2 linked regions of the Danio rerio genome follow. The protein of the gene in region 1 purifies or fractionates together with the protein of each later gene. This does not show direct contact. Links are inferred from orthologs where the notes say so. Each region holds a gene or a part of one and is shown in the gene's direction. Other genes may lie near its edges. The genes, in order: pan2 and pan3.

Region 1 (6,893 bases):
ACCAATAGCTTACTTAAATACCCTAACCTGCCTCATTATTTTAGTAATCTAGTAAAGCCTTTAATTTGATGACATGTTAAGGATCACAGTTCACCCATAAAATATTGATTTATTTTCCTTTAATTTAATTTACTTCTTCATTATCCTTCAAAGGACAGGTTTCCCCCATTTGTCAGCAAAAAGCTTTTAATCATTTAAAATATAGTAAAATTAATATCACTAGTGCAGGTACATACATATAAGTATGTTGCTTCATTAATACTTGAATATATTATTTGACCATATTGTGACATTTTATTTTCACAAAAGTAAACAGTTGAAGGCAAAATGAAAGAATCAAGTGATGTTAGAGCGAGGCAATGATCACAGTATTTTCTTTAATTTTTCTTATGGAGAAAGTCTTGTTTCTTTTAGTTTGGCTGGAAGTTTGGAGTTTTTCAATTGACTGCAGAACAAAATACCATTACCCAATAACTTGCCTAATTAACCCAACCTGCCCAGTTAACCTAGTAATCTAGTAAAGCCTTTAATTAGCACTCAAGCTGAATACCAGCATCTTCCAAAACAACTAGAAAAACATCACAGCATATACAAAAGAAATTAGCATCTATTCTTCCATTTAGTTGTCTCTTACGTCAATCTATAGATTATGAATGCTTCCTCTTACCTATGTTTTTTCAAAGTACGTAAAAAATATTGACACCCTTTACTGTGTTACCGTAATATTTAAAGTGTATTGTAATCCTTGGAAAAGAATCTCTTAATGGTCATTTGTGCATTGTTTGTTGTAGGTGTCTCTTCGTGATCTGCGCACGTTTAAAATGGAGCACGAGTTTGATGCATTCTCCGGCAGCCTGTCTGATTTCGACATTCACGGTAACCTGTTAGCGGCATGTGGTTTCTCAAGTCGCGGTCTGAACGGGCTGTCCTGTGATCGGTTCCTCATGGTGTACGATCTGCGCATGATGAGGGCCGTCACCCCATTGCAGGTCCACGTGGACCCCCTATTCCTCCGCTTTATCCCCACATACACCTCCCGCCTGGCCATCATTTCACAAACAGGTATGATGCACATGTGTCTCTGTCTGAAGTGATGTTTATCCAGCTATTATCTCTGAAAGCGACTGTTAAAGTTGTAATGTAATGACATAAAGAAGAATCTTCATGAAAAATACAGTCAAAAATGACACCAAACACAACATTTAGACACTAAACACAATATTTTTCTTGTATCTTTTGCAAAATACTATTGTTTTCATAAGTAGGAGAGGATAGCAGAAGTATAAAAAGTGACATATTATAACCAACATTTGTTCATACCAGTAAGAAAACTGACTGAACAAAAGCAAAAGGGATTTTTTGTGTAAATATTGTCTTATAGATGATTGTAATCCATTACAAACTGTATCTATCAAAAATTCATCTGACAATAACAGGATTATTTAGCTCTAATTTCTAGTTTAGCTGTAAGTTCTTGTCATAATTTGGCCCTATTTTTGAAACTATAGCAAATTAACTGTGATAATGTGAGAAATCTTGAAGAGGTGTCTAAATAATATTTGGTTTAACTGTATGTGGGATAGTATTTGTGTTTGGGGATTTTTATTCGGAGCTTGCCTGTTTATTCTATAGTATTCTTCTTCCGTCTTCAGTTGTTGCTTAATCAAATTTTTCAGAAGCTCACTAATATTATATGAGGATATTTTTTGTGGCTTCTTCTGACATGTCTATACTGGATGTAAAAGTTCTACCTTGTTTTCATTTCTGCTTTGGCTCTTCTCATATTGTCCACATTTTTACTTGGTAGGTCACGTGAAGTGATTTTGCTGAATGTGCCGAACAACGGTCCGGCCGTGTATTGCAATTTCCTCGCTTTAAAACATATATTTTAAATTCTGTTTGCGAGTTCTGAAATAAAAGAGTCTTTTAAAGAGAACTTTTTAAGTACAAATGAAGCTCTAATCACAAAAAATAAAGTAACTGATAACAAAAGTTTGTAACCTTGTCCTCACATACAAATCTATGATGTCATAGATCTTAAACTACGTTACATTTAAGTGAAATTTGAGTCAAATAAGTCAAATTAAAACCGTAATACTGAATACTGTTTTTTTTTGCCTTGAATTAAAATGAACTGAAAATTAACCAAAATAGTAGGAAATGTAAACATACTTTGACTGAAATAAAAAGTAATTATTAAGACATTCAAACATGATTTAATACCATTAACTGATGATATATACGGTTGAAGTCAGAATTTTTAGCCCCCCTTTGATTTTTTTTTTCTTTTTTTTAAATCTTTTCCAAATTATGTTTAACAGAGCAAGGAAAATTTCACAGCATGTCTGATAATATTTTTTCTTCAGGAGAATATCTTATTTGTTTTATTTCAGCTTTTTATTACAGAGCAAACCATTGTTATACAATAACTTGCCTAATTACCCTAACCTGCCTAGTTAACCTAATTAACCTAGTTAAGCCTTTAAATGTCACTTTAAGCTGTATGGTCTTGAAAAATATCTAGTCAAATATTATTTACTGTCATTATGGCAAAGATAGAAATAAATCAGTTATTAGAAATGAGTTAATAAAACTATTATGTTTAGAAATGTGTTGAAAAAATATCTTCTCTTTGTTAAACAGAAATTGGGGAAAAAAATAAACAAGGGGGCTAATAATTCTGACTTGGTCATTTCTAGCATTTGGGGATGTGAGATTTACTCGTTTTGTTGTTTTGAGAGTGTTAGAATGAATATCACCCATAGGCTCTTCCCTCCTTTGGAAAGCAGCAGCTCATTTGCAATTAAAAAGAACACACAAAACATACGTGTTTTCAAACCCGAATAAGGGCAATTTTTAAAGCTATAATAAATGATTCATGGGGTATTTTGAGTGGAAACTTCACAGACAAAATTCTGAAGAAGCGTAGTACTGTATGCTCGCTTTAAAGTACATATGAAATCAAAACTAACCATATTGATTTTGCTAGCTTACATCCCTATAGTTTTGTACTGAACAATTCATCTGTGCATGTCATTTAGAAAATATTTTTCCATTTTAATCTTTAATTGAAATCTGAAAGCGCACTTCCTGTTTGTTTTCAATAAAAAAAACTTCAGATTTCTGTCTGCGGTATTGGGGTGTGTCTAACATACTTAACCACACCCCTTCAACTTTCAGTTTTGACGTGGCTATGACAGCATACAGAAATGGTGAGGAGGAAGTGCCTGTTAGTTTGTAAGAACTCACCTGAAACCCTTTTCCCGATCTTTCTGAGTGAAATGCTTACTTCTACATCCAATCATCTTGAGGTACAAACAACAAGCCACGCCCACTTTTTATGTGTCATAGTATGAAAAAAAGAACATTTAAAGTCCACATGAACTAGAAGCTGTGAAGCTCCATTTTTTCATATTGTGATGCAGTTCCTAGAGAAACGGAATATCAAATGAGTAAACAGTGGGCGTGGCTTGTTTCTTTAATTTCAAGCTGATTGGATGTAGTAAAGTAATCATTTCACTGAGAAAGATCTGGAAAAGGAATTCAGGAGAGTTCTTACAACCTAGCAGACACCTCATCCTCACCATTTCTGTTTGTTGTTAAAACATACAATTGGAGGGGCGTGGTTAAGTATGTTAGCCACGCCCACTACCTTAGACAGACATAATCTGAGAATTGACTGAAAACAAACAGGAAGTGCATTTTCACATTTCAGTTTAAGCTTTCAATTTTAATCGATTAAAATTTCTTAATGACACGCACAGATGAAATGTTCACAACAAAACTAGCAATGTGAGCTAACAAAATCAACATGGTTAGTTTGGATTCATGTGAACTTCAATGTCTTGCAGGTCAGTGTCAGTTCTGTGAGCCCACCGGCCTGGCCAGCCTGGCTGATATCTTCCACGTCAACACAGTGGGCCAGCTGCTGATGAGCTTTGACGTGTCCTCCAGCAAGCAGGCTCTGTCATTCGGGGACTCGGGCGGCTGTGTGCATCTGTGGTCCAGCGCCCCTGAGGTGTCCTATAACAGCTACTCTAGAGACACAGAGCTGGCGCTGCCCTGCCTGGTGGACTCACTGCCGCAGATGGACTGGAACCACGAGCTGATGCCTCTGTCTCTTCTGCCAATGCCTCTCACCAGCACTGAGCCTCTGCTGTCTGACTGGCCCACCGCCCTCATCGCACCCAGCCCCAGGTATAACTGAGCTTAAATGGTTATATGTGCAGCTGTGGCGAAAAAATTAGTTCTGCATCATTTCCATTAGCGTTGCTAATATCTTCTTTTGTGTTAAACAGAAGAAAGAAACTCAAACTTGCTTGGAATAACAATGAGTACAGGATGACGTGGTTTTTATTTTTGTGTGAACTATCCCTTTTAAATTACTTAATGAAAATACAGTTGTCCATTGTAAGTTCTTATGAACTCACAGTGCATTAGCTAATGTTTGGCACAATTTTGGATGTAAATATTTATTAAATGTTAAACTGATTTGATGATTAATTGATGTAGTACAAATAATGGTCATTCAAACACTAACAAGCATTAAATAATGTTAACTTATTGTAAAGTGTGATTAGATAAACTGCTATTTTGTAAAAAAAAAAAAAAAAAAAAAAAAAATATATATATATATATATATATATATATATATATATATATATATATATATATATATATATATATATATATATATATATAAATATGTAATTTTCTTGTGTAGTGCCTATTTTTGTAAAAAAAATCTGGATTGTTCATGCATAAATACATATTTTCATAATGTGCACGATATATTCATTCCATATTTCATTTCTGAACATACCTGTGTGTCAGAGGCTTATTGTGTAATACTGCCCCCTGCAGTACATTTCTGTAAATGTGCTCAATCTATTATGATATGCTTTTGGTATTTTCATTTAGTAGAGATGTATATTTATTGTAATTTTTCTTGCATCTCTTTTCCATGCCAGTTTTCTTTACACAGTTTTTGGACAGTAAATCTCTTAACAAATGACATTTTTTGGGGATGTTTATGGATGTTGATGTGTTTGTTTCACTGTCAGACGAGCGCCTCCAGTAGACCCAGAGATTCTGAGGACAATGAAAACTGTGGGATTTATTGGATACGCACCAAATCCTAGAACCCGTCCCAGAAACCAGGTAATTTTTCAAAATACATGGCAAGGCAAGTTTCATACACAATGGTATAAGAATATACCATTAAATATAATAAAAAATATAAACAAATAAAAAATGATTCAAAACAGATTAAAATGTGTTAAAATAGGTTTTAAAGGAGTAAAAAAAGAGAAAGACATAATAGTGTGATCTGTCAGACGTAGCACAGTGCTCATTCAGTAAAAGCACAGCTAAACAGATGTGTTTTAGGTGTTGGTTTGAATTTAACTAATGTTGGAGGAAGCACATTTGATCATTTCTGGAAGCTGATTCCAGCAGCACCGGGGGACGGGGGTGCAGTAGCTGAAAGCGGATTCACCCTGCTTTCACTGAACTCCTGGAATTTCTAATTTACTTGATCCTAACGATTTGAGGGATCTGTTAGGTTTGTATTTAATGAGCATATCCCTAATGCAATGAGCTCCTTGGCCATTAAGTAATTTACAGACAAGGAATAACACTTTCAAATTTATTCTGAATGTAACTGGGAGCCAGTGTAAAGACCTGAGGACAGGTGTAATGTGCTCTAATGTTCTGGTTCTGGTCAAAATCCTGGCAGCAGAGTTCTGGATGAGCTGCAACTTTCTGACTGTCTTTTTGAGAAGGCCAGTAAGGAGTCCATTACAGTAATCCACCCTGCTGCTGATAAAAGCATGAAGAAAAAATACGAAGTTGGTTCTTTGTATATATCCTAAACATGAAGAACTTTAATATTTTTTAAAAAGTATCACTAATTAAGCATGCATGATCACTATACTCTTAATCAGTATTGTTTTTCATATTCTGTAAGAGGGAAGTCATGTCATACAGTAATGTAGCTGTGTCATTTTTTGTTGATGCGTCATTCATTTCAGTGCAGTAATGCTGTGTAACCAGTATCTTGATCCTCTTTTTTTTTGCCAGGTTCCATATAAGATAAAAGATGTCGAGCTTGACTATGACAGCTATAATCAGGTGCCGGAGTCTCCCATTGGTCGAGACGAGGAGCCACATCTTTACATGGTGCCAAAGAAATACAGGAAGGTAGTGATGAGCTATTGTTGTGCATAATCCTGTTCCGCATCATCCAAATAATGACACACCACTAGAGCTATTTTGCACATTACAGGTGTTTGTGTGCAAGTTATTTTTAGATCAGATGATGTTGAACCTTTTTTGGAAGCGTAAAGGAAGTGGTTGCACGCAACACATTAGTTTATTATTGCAGTAGTATTCGTTTAATTCTGCAGTAATATTAATCATTTATCACAGTGTCGTGTTGGAGGCTCAGTGGTGATTGTCATGTTTGTTATTTACATCTGAAATATTCTACCATTCTGAAGTGACAGAATTTTTATATTTTATGCCAGGTGACCATTAAATATTCCAAACTGGGACTGGAAGACTTTGATTTTAAGCACTATAATCGGACTCTGTTTGCTGGTCTGGAGCCTCACATACCCAACGCTTACTGTAACTGTATGATCCAGGTAAAAATATGAAACTACACACATCCACACATTCAGTCAATCAAACACACACACACACACAGTTATGCCTTTAAAAATATACAAATAAACACACACACACACCCACATGGAATGTTTTTAAAACATTTGTTAGTCTGAGCAGTTGTCCTAAAAATTGTACTTTTATAGACACATTTTTGGGGAAAAAAGCTCTAAATTACAAGAAATGTTATCAGAGTTTATCGAATGAAACAAATATTACAACTC
Region 2 (6,893 bases), on another chromosome or scaffold:
GGGCCTACCTCTCGCCATCAAAACAACACTGGATATCAACATGTTCCTCCACAGCGCGCCAGCACTTTTAAATGACAAACTAAAATACTTCAACAGCTAATGTGGAAACGCTTTGTTAATAAACTGTGTTGTTTTAGCAGGGTTCAAACATGTTCTTCAAAAAACACATTTAGTTTTTGATAACTGGAAGATATGGCAAGCTATTAAACAAGACTGACTTAAATTCATGCAGTTTTTATTTTTATTCAGTGCTTCAGAAATGCAATATAAACTAGCAGGCTATCTTTTAAAATTTATCTTACAAATAATACTTATTTGACACCACTGGTGCTTTTATTGGTTACTAGTGTTTGTTCTGTAACGTTAGATGAGTAAGTTAGCTCTACTGTTGCACTTGTTACCTTCATAAATTGTAGCAATTAGAATGATGAATATGTTACCTATGCCTTTTAAAGTTGCTCTTTTGAGATGGTCTGCACATTAGACCAAGGGTAAAATGGGGTTCAATTGGGTTTCAAATAATACAAAACTGTTCTTTCTTTCAAATGCAATAATTGCCAGTTTTTAATTACTGGGAGATATGGCAAGCTGTTTTAACATACATTACTTAAAACAAGCTAATGTCTTTTTTAACAGTGAGTGCTTCAGTAATGCAGCACTGATTAGTATATTGTACCGTTTTAATTGTTAATATTTATAATTAGACAGTACTAGCTTAGTACTTGTATTAATTCATACTAGTATTTGTAATAGTAGATTTTCTAGCATTCAGTCTGATACTTTTGTGTTCAAGTTTTTACTAGTAACTTTTTATTTATTTTATTAAAATTTTTAAACAGGAAAGAATAAAAGATGATCCTGATTCAGCATAAATGCTGTTTTTAGCAGGTTCCTGCTCTGCAGAACACAGAAACATACAGGCACCCTTACCATCTCGTCCATCAACACAAGAACAGTACAAACAATCACCAAACATACAAAATGAAGAGAGACAGGCTATTATCTCGGTGGCTACAGCAATAGTTGACCTTCAGATGACGAATATGGGCTTTTTTAAGAAGTCTCAGTGTTGATATTGGTTATAGATGTTGTTGGATCTCATTCCAGGCCTTTGTGAATACCTAAAAAATATCTCTGTCCATGACTGTTTTTAAAAGCCGGTAACGGCAAACATTATTTGTCTGCACGTATTGCAGGTAAAAAGCTAAAGAGAAGCGGAAACAGGTGCAATTACAATTTAAAAGTAACAAATAATGCGAAAATGCTTTAGAAGCTCTTTCTAAAATATTGCCTAAGATGCATAATTGTGTATTCTTTGTTTAAAGATGAATATGACAATCTTTCAAAACATGCATTACATGTATTGTGTATCTGTTGTGTGTACAGGAGTAATCCAGTTTTGACTTGTCTTTTAGAATTTATTTTATTTTAATACCCATTATTAGACACAGTTTTCCTAGTTCTAGATGAGTAGACTAGTATTAATATATTAAATGGCTTGCCATAACAAGCGACATGCTTTTGTTTACAGGCCAGATGAAAGCATCTTTAGAAACCTTTAACATAATAACATGCATTTTGTGAGCTACTGTGTTTCAATGAAGCTTTGCTAAAAAAGCCTCGTTGTATTGTCATAATAAAGTGGGAAATGATGTCTAGCAACTTCTAAAACCTCGCTTTAGCATTCAGGAGAAACTCGATGACGCTTTCTTTTATGAAAGCACACTAATCTTTTAAAACACTGTAAATATATATATATATATGTATATATATATATATATATATATATATATATATATATATATATATATATGCATACATACAGTTGAAGTCAGAATTATTTGCACCCCTGTTTATTTTTTTCCCCAATTTCTGTTTACAGGAGGGAAGATTGTTTCAGCACATTTATAAGCATAATAGTTTTAAAAACTTATTTCTAATAACTGATTTATTTTATCTTTGCCATGATGACAGTAAATAATATTTTACTTGATATTTTTAAAGACGCTTCTATGCAGCTTAAAGTGACATTTAAAGGCTTAACTAGGTTAATTAGGTGAACTACGCAGGTTAGGGTAATTAGGCAAGTTATTGTATAATGCTGGTTTGTTCTGTAGACTATCGGAAAAAAAAAGCTTATAGGGGCTAATAATTTTGTCCCAAAAATGTTTTTTTTTTAAATTAATAACTGTTTTTATTCAAGCCGAAGTAAAACAAAAAAGACTTTTTCCAGAAGAAAAAATATTATCAGACATACTGTGAAAATTTCCTTGCTCTGTTAAAAATCATTAGGAAAATATTTTAAAAAGAATAAAAAAAATTAAAAAGGGGCTAATAATTCTGACTTCAACTGTATATATGTGAGCAATTTCAGGGTTATGAATGTGACATTTGCAGTAAAAACTTAAAACATAAATCCGAATAGAAGATATGTGTTAACATTAAATTGAAGCATCTGTTTATATTTTCCAGAACAGTTATGGAACCAGAAAAACATCAATCTGTAAACATGTTTTGAACTTTAAATGTGGAAAATAAACATGAAAAGTCTGCGGATTTACAGTATACAACATACTTTGTAAAAATTCTGTGAATTAAACTGCACAACCCAAAAGACATAATGATAATCAAAAGGATATAAGTTGGCTCTTTATAAAAACAAAAAATATTGGTTTTTATTTTATTTGAGGAAAAAAGTGTCGTTATGGATGTGACATCTCTCCGTTATGGATGTGACGGATGTGAAATTGCAACTTGTGTGACTTTGGTAAATCAAATAGAATAGTTTGAAAACATTGACAGATGCATTTTTGAGTATTTCTGAAGTACTGTAAAACACTTGCTTACATAAAAAAAAAAAACAGAAATGGTTTTCATATTTTGGTGAAAACTTATTTTTCATCGCAAGGTTGACATTTGCACGGAATTGCTCATCTATATACATATATAACACCAAGGTAACTGTTGTTTTTGCAGTCCCTGGGATGGAGGGAGGTGCTCTGAATGAAGCCAGTCTGACCAACTCGTACTTCAGCAGCACCTTTATTGGGGTCAACGGATTTGGAGGCCCAGCAGAATCCAAATATTCAATGATGCAGGTGATGATTTAAACCACAAGTTACTATGTTTGGTGATGTGCATGAAACCATTAGATACCAGATTGAACACACAGTGGCGATTAATACCTGGATACTTCACATGTTGGGTTTTCAGAGGATGACCAGCAGTAGCAGTTCTCCAAGTCTGCTGAATGATGGTGCCAAGAGCTATAGCCACAGCACACACGGTGAGAAAAATCAATAATTTTTTTGTTTTTGGTGGATAAAGCCATTGTGCAAAGATTCATTTTTTAATGTCTGCTCTTATTTTTAGATCCAGTAAATTCCCCAACATCATCTCTCTTCAGTGACTTTGGTGCTTTAAGCATATCGCAGAGGAGAAAGGTGAGTCTCAGTTATGCTGTTTGTATTGTATTGTAGTTGTTCAATTATTTTGTAAGTGGATGAAGCATCTGTATTAAAGACATCTTTCAAAAGGGCACAAGAAAAGGGACATATAAAATATAAAAATGTATACTTTATCAGCAATGCTTGAAGTTCTGTTTACACAGGGTTTAACTTTTAGACTAAATTCACTGGAATAAAGTAAACATTTGGATTCAAGTTCCTCAGTTTTACATTTCTGATGACCATACACATTTAGACCATCTCCATAGCATTTTTGGATGAGATGTCCAGACCAATGTGCTCTGTTCCCTTCTATTGTGCTCCATCTGGTTGTTTTGAATGCAAGAACATGTCTTATGTAAACACTCTCTAAGACGGGGGGTTTTCAATTTTTTAGAGTCAGCGGACCGCCAAAAATGATAATCCTTGCTTGGGACCCCCATTCTAAACTTTAAAAGGCCAACATTTATTTGTATGCTTAAAGACTCTATTGAAATTAAGAAAACATTATAATAAAAAAATGAAAAATATTATTTGGGAAAATAGTTAGTTTTTGATAATTAATATCCCCTTGTTCAGTCATGGCGTAAAGAATACTGTTTCCTGGTCCAAGCCGCTACTCGTTTGAAGTGAATTTTTATACTAAATTATGGTGTACACAACAGGCATGGAACGATAACCGTTTTCAAAGTATTCTGCGGTTAGGAAAATTCAAGGTTTCTGCAATACCGTTCCTAAGATATGTGTACGATTTTATATTTACTTGTTTTTGTTTTTTCAGACATCAGTATCTCCAGCAGAAAAGATGCCATTTTAAATTGTGAAAATATCTGTTTTTGAAACAAATGAAGACAGCAGAAGTCAATAATTTATTTAGCCTGACATGTTTACTGTTTCAAAATATTGTAAATGTTTCTCAAAATAAAATAAATTGTTCAAATTTTTTATTTTTTTTTACCCAGACATTAAAAAAGAATATATTTTAGAGCAGTAATCACAACACTGCAAAAGCGTGAAACCGTGATATTTTTATCCAAGGTAAACATACTGTCAGTATCTTATTCCGGCCCATGCCTACTCTGGACTTGCTGCATCACAGACACCAATATTTTAACAACTTGTAAAAAAGTAAGCACGTTTTGTGATTGTGATATTTGAAAGTATTACATCACCTTGTAAACGTTTATTATCACCATTTAATGAGTCTTGCCATATTGTTTGATAGAGCACTTGGACCCGGAAGCAGTTTCTCATGACGTCACACTTAACAAGCGGACATGTATATTTTCTGCTTTCTGTTACTGTGCTGTTGTTTATTTAAATATATTTCAAGGTGTTTTTTTACTCCTTTTAATAATTGTTGTTTTAATTTATTAATTATTTTTTTATTAACCATTGCCCTAAAACTCAAGCCTAATTAGAATCAAGTGTTTTTGAAAAGACCCTACATATGCAGGAGTTCTGTAAGTGTATGTTTACACAGTAACCATGTAATAAAAGCACAAAAGTGTTTCTTTTGTGTTTTTGAAAAGTTTAGAATTGACGCAACAAAGCAATTCCCGTTCACACCGATCTGCGAAAACCATTGTACAACAATAATGTTGCATTGTGCATGCCAGGCCACTGAGGCCAGTAGTTTTATTTGTTTCAGTTTATAAAAATACTCTCTGAATCTGCACATATATGGTTCTGTCGTCTTGTTGTTTAGGTTGTTAAGGAACTGCAGATGTCAATAATGCACATGCATAACGTCACCGTTTTCACAAAATCACTGTTCACACGGAAACAATAATTGACTTTTTTTTTCCTAGAAACCTGTTGAATCAGCACTGTACTTTTGTTATGTAATACTAGACAGAAAACTGTTCAAGGAATTGTTTTTATTTTTGTTTATTTTAAATTATTCACATAATTAACAGTGTAATGTAAGCTTTTAGAAGTCTACAGATATTTGACATTTATTGAATTGCATTTGAAGAGTTTAGGTGCAAAAACCCCCAAATGCCGTTTTATATTTTCTTCTAAATGTTTTTTTCAACTGCTGTGCAGGTGGAGTAATTTTACTGTTACAGTGAAGAATAAGTTCTTTTCATTGCCTTTTAAGAAAAATAACTGAACAAACATAGGAGGCTGAAAAAAATGCTCATTTTAGGAGAATATTTCAGATGGTACTTAGAGATTTTTGCATCTGAACTCTTCATTATAAAAACATAATATCAGCTCATTGAATTTAAAGAATTGTTTAAATTATAATTTTATTATTATTATTAGGACCTCACAACACCTCTTCATTAGTGGTTTAAAAAGGGACATCTTTAAGACATCTTGAAATATTGAGCTAGGCTCCTCCTTGTCTTTTGTAGGCTCCTAACCCTGCAGCCAGTGAGTTTGTCCCAAAAGGGGCTCCACGAATGGCCTCCATGTCTCAGACAACCGTGCCAGCATTCGCCTCTCCCATTTTTCCTCATCCTGGATTGAGCAGCTCCACAGCGTCCGCTCTTGCACCTGGTCAGTGACTCGATCTCAAAAATCTATACTTGTGTTTTGCTTGGCATGTCTGTCAGCCTTTAACCCTTGTGTACTTTTCTAATGGGGTAAATGTGGACTTTTTTTTAATTTCAGGCAGCCAGCCTCAGCACTTCTGGTGAACTGACTTTCTATTATTAAATTGCTACGCTTAAGATCTGAATCTTTAAAAAATAAGTGATCTTCACTGCCTGAGAGAGATACGTTATAAAGTGGGTCTCAGACCAGCTCTAAATTCAATTTAAGTCTCCCCCGCCATGTCTTTAAAATATGAGTTTATTTTACAACATTGGTGCTGTAAAAGCAACCTTGTGAAATTGAAAAAGTCACATTAAGCTTTCATAGGATGTTTATCATTGGCTGAAAAACACTAGCTGTGCATATACCGCATTGACTACCCTTTCGTTATGTTCGTGGCTGTTTTTGCCTCATTGACTTGTATTATAACCACTTTTTTATTGCAAAGCCATGACAAAATAATCATGTATTCTGTTCGGAGGAGGTAAAACTAATTTTTTATATATTTTTTTGTTCATCAATTAGCACGATTAACCCGCTAGGCTGCATTTACACTGCATGGTTTAAGCGACCCAATTACGACTTTTTTTTTTCCTCCCAAATGGCACTGATTGGATTCGGTGCATGTGAAAACAACGCATGGATTCTGATTTGCTCAAAGGGTTATATGTGTAAGCTTATTTGATATGAATCGGATCTGTGCCTTCCTGTCTGCAGTGTAAGCAGGTAGATTGGATTTTCACCTGCCAATGCGAGTCACGTATCATTAAAAAACCACAGCAAATGACATTAACTCTGATGCTTTCATTTCATTTTCAGTCCCAAACCTTACATTTCATATACTAGAGCAAGAATTATTTATATTGTCATATAGCAAAAGTATTCAAGCATGTGAGAGAGCGA

Evidence for each region.
Region 2: the proteins of pan2 (region 1) and pan3 purify together in Homo sapiens (co-immunoprecipitation; 5 studies listed by BioGRID and IntAct, with this or other methods). This does not show direct contact. The link is inferred for Danio rerio from reciprocal best matches to the Homo sapiens genes PAN2 and PAN3.

The regions. Positions count from the first base shown.
Region 1 is NC_133198.1:34,931,279-34,938,171, forward strand, and holds part of pan2 (PAN2-PAN3 deadenylation complex catalytic subunit PAN2), read left to right. Parts: intron 1-791; coding exon 792-1,062; intron 1,063-3,851; coding exon 3,852-4,197; intron 4,198-5,063; coding exon 5,064-5,160; intron 5,161-6,081; coding exon 6,082-6,201; intron 6,202-6,527; coding exon 6,528-6,647; intron 6,648-6,893. UniProt on the Homo sapiens protein: Catalytic subunit of the poly(A)-nuclease (PAN) deadenylation complex, one of two cytoplasmic mRNA deadenylases involved in general and miRNA-mediated mRNA turnover.
Region 2 is NC_133199.1:25,601,772-25,608,664, forward strand, and holds part of pan3 (PAN2-PAN3 deadenylation complex subunit PAN3), read left to right. Parts: intron 1-2,976; coding exon 2,977-3,098; intron 3,099-3,213; coding exon 3,214-3,286; intron 3,287-3,372; coding exon 3,373-3,443; intron 3,444-5,809; coding exon 5,810-5,954; intron 5,955-6,893. UniProt on the Homo sapiens protein: Regulatory subunit of the poly(A)-nuclease (PAN) deadenylation complex, one of two cytoplasmic mRNA deadenylases involved in general and miRNA-mediated mRNA turnover.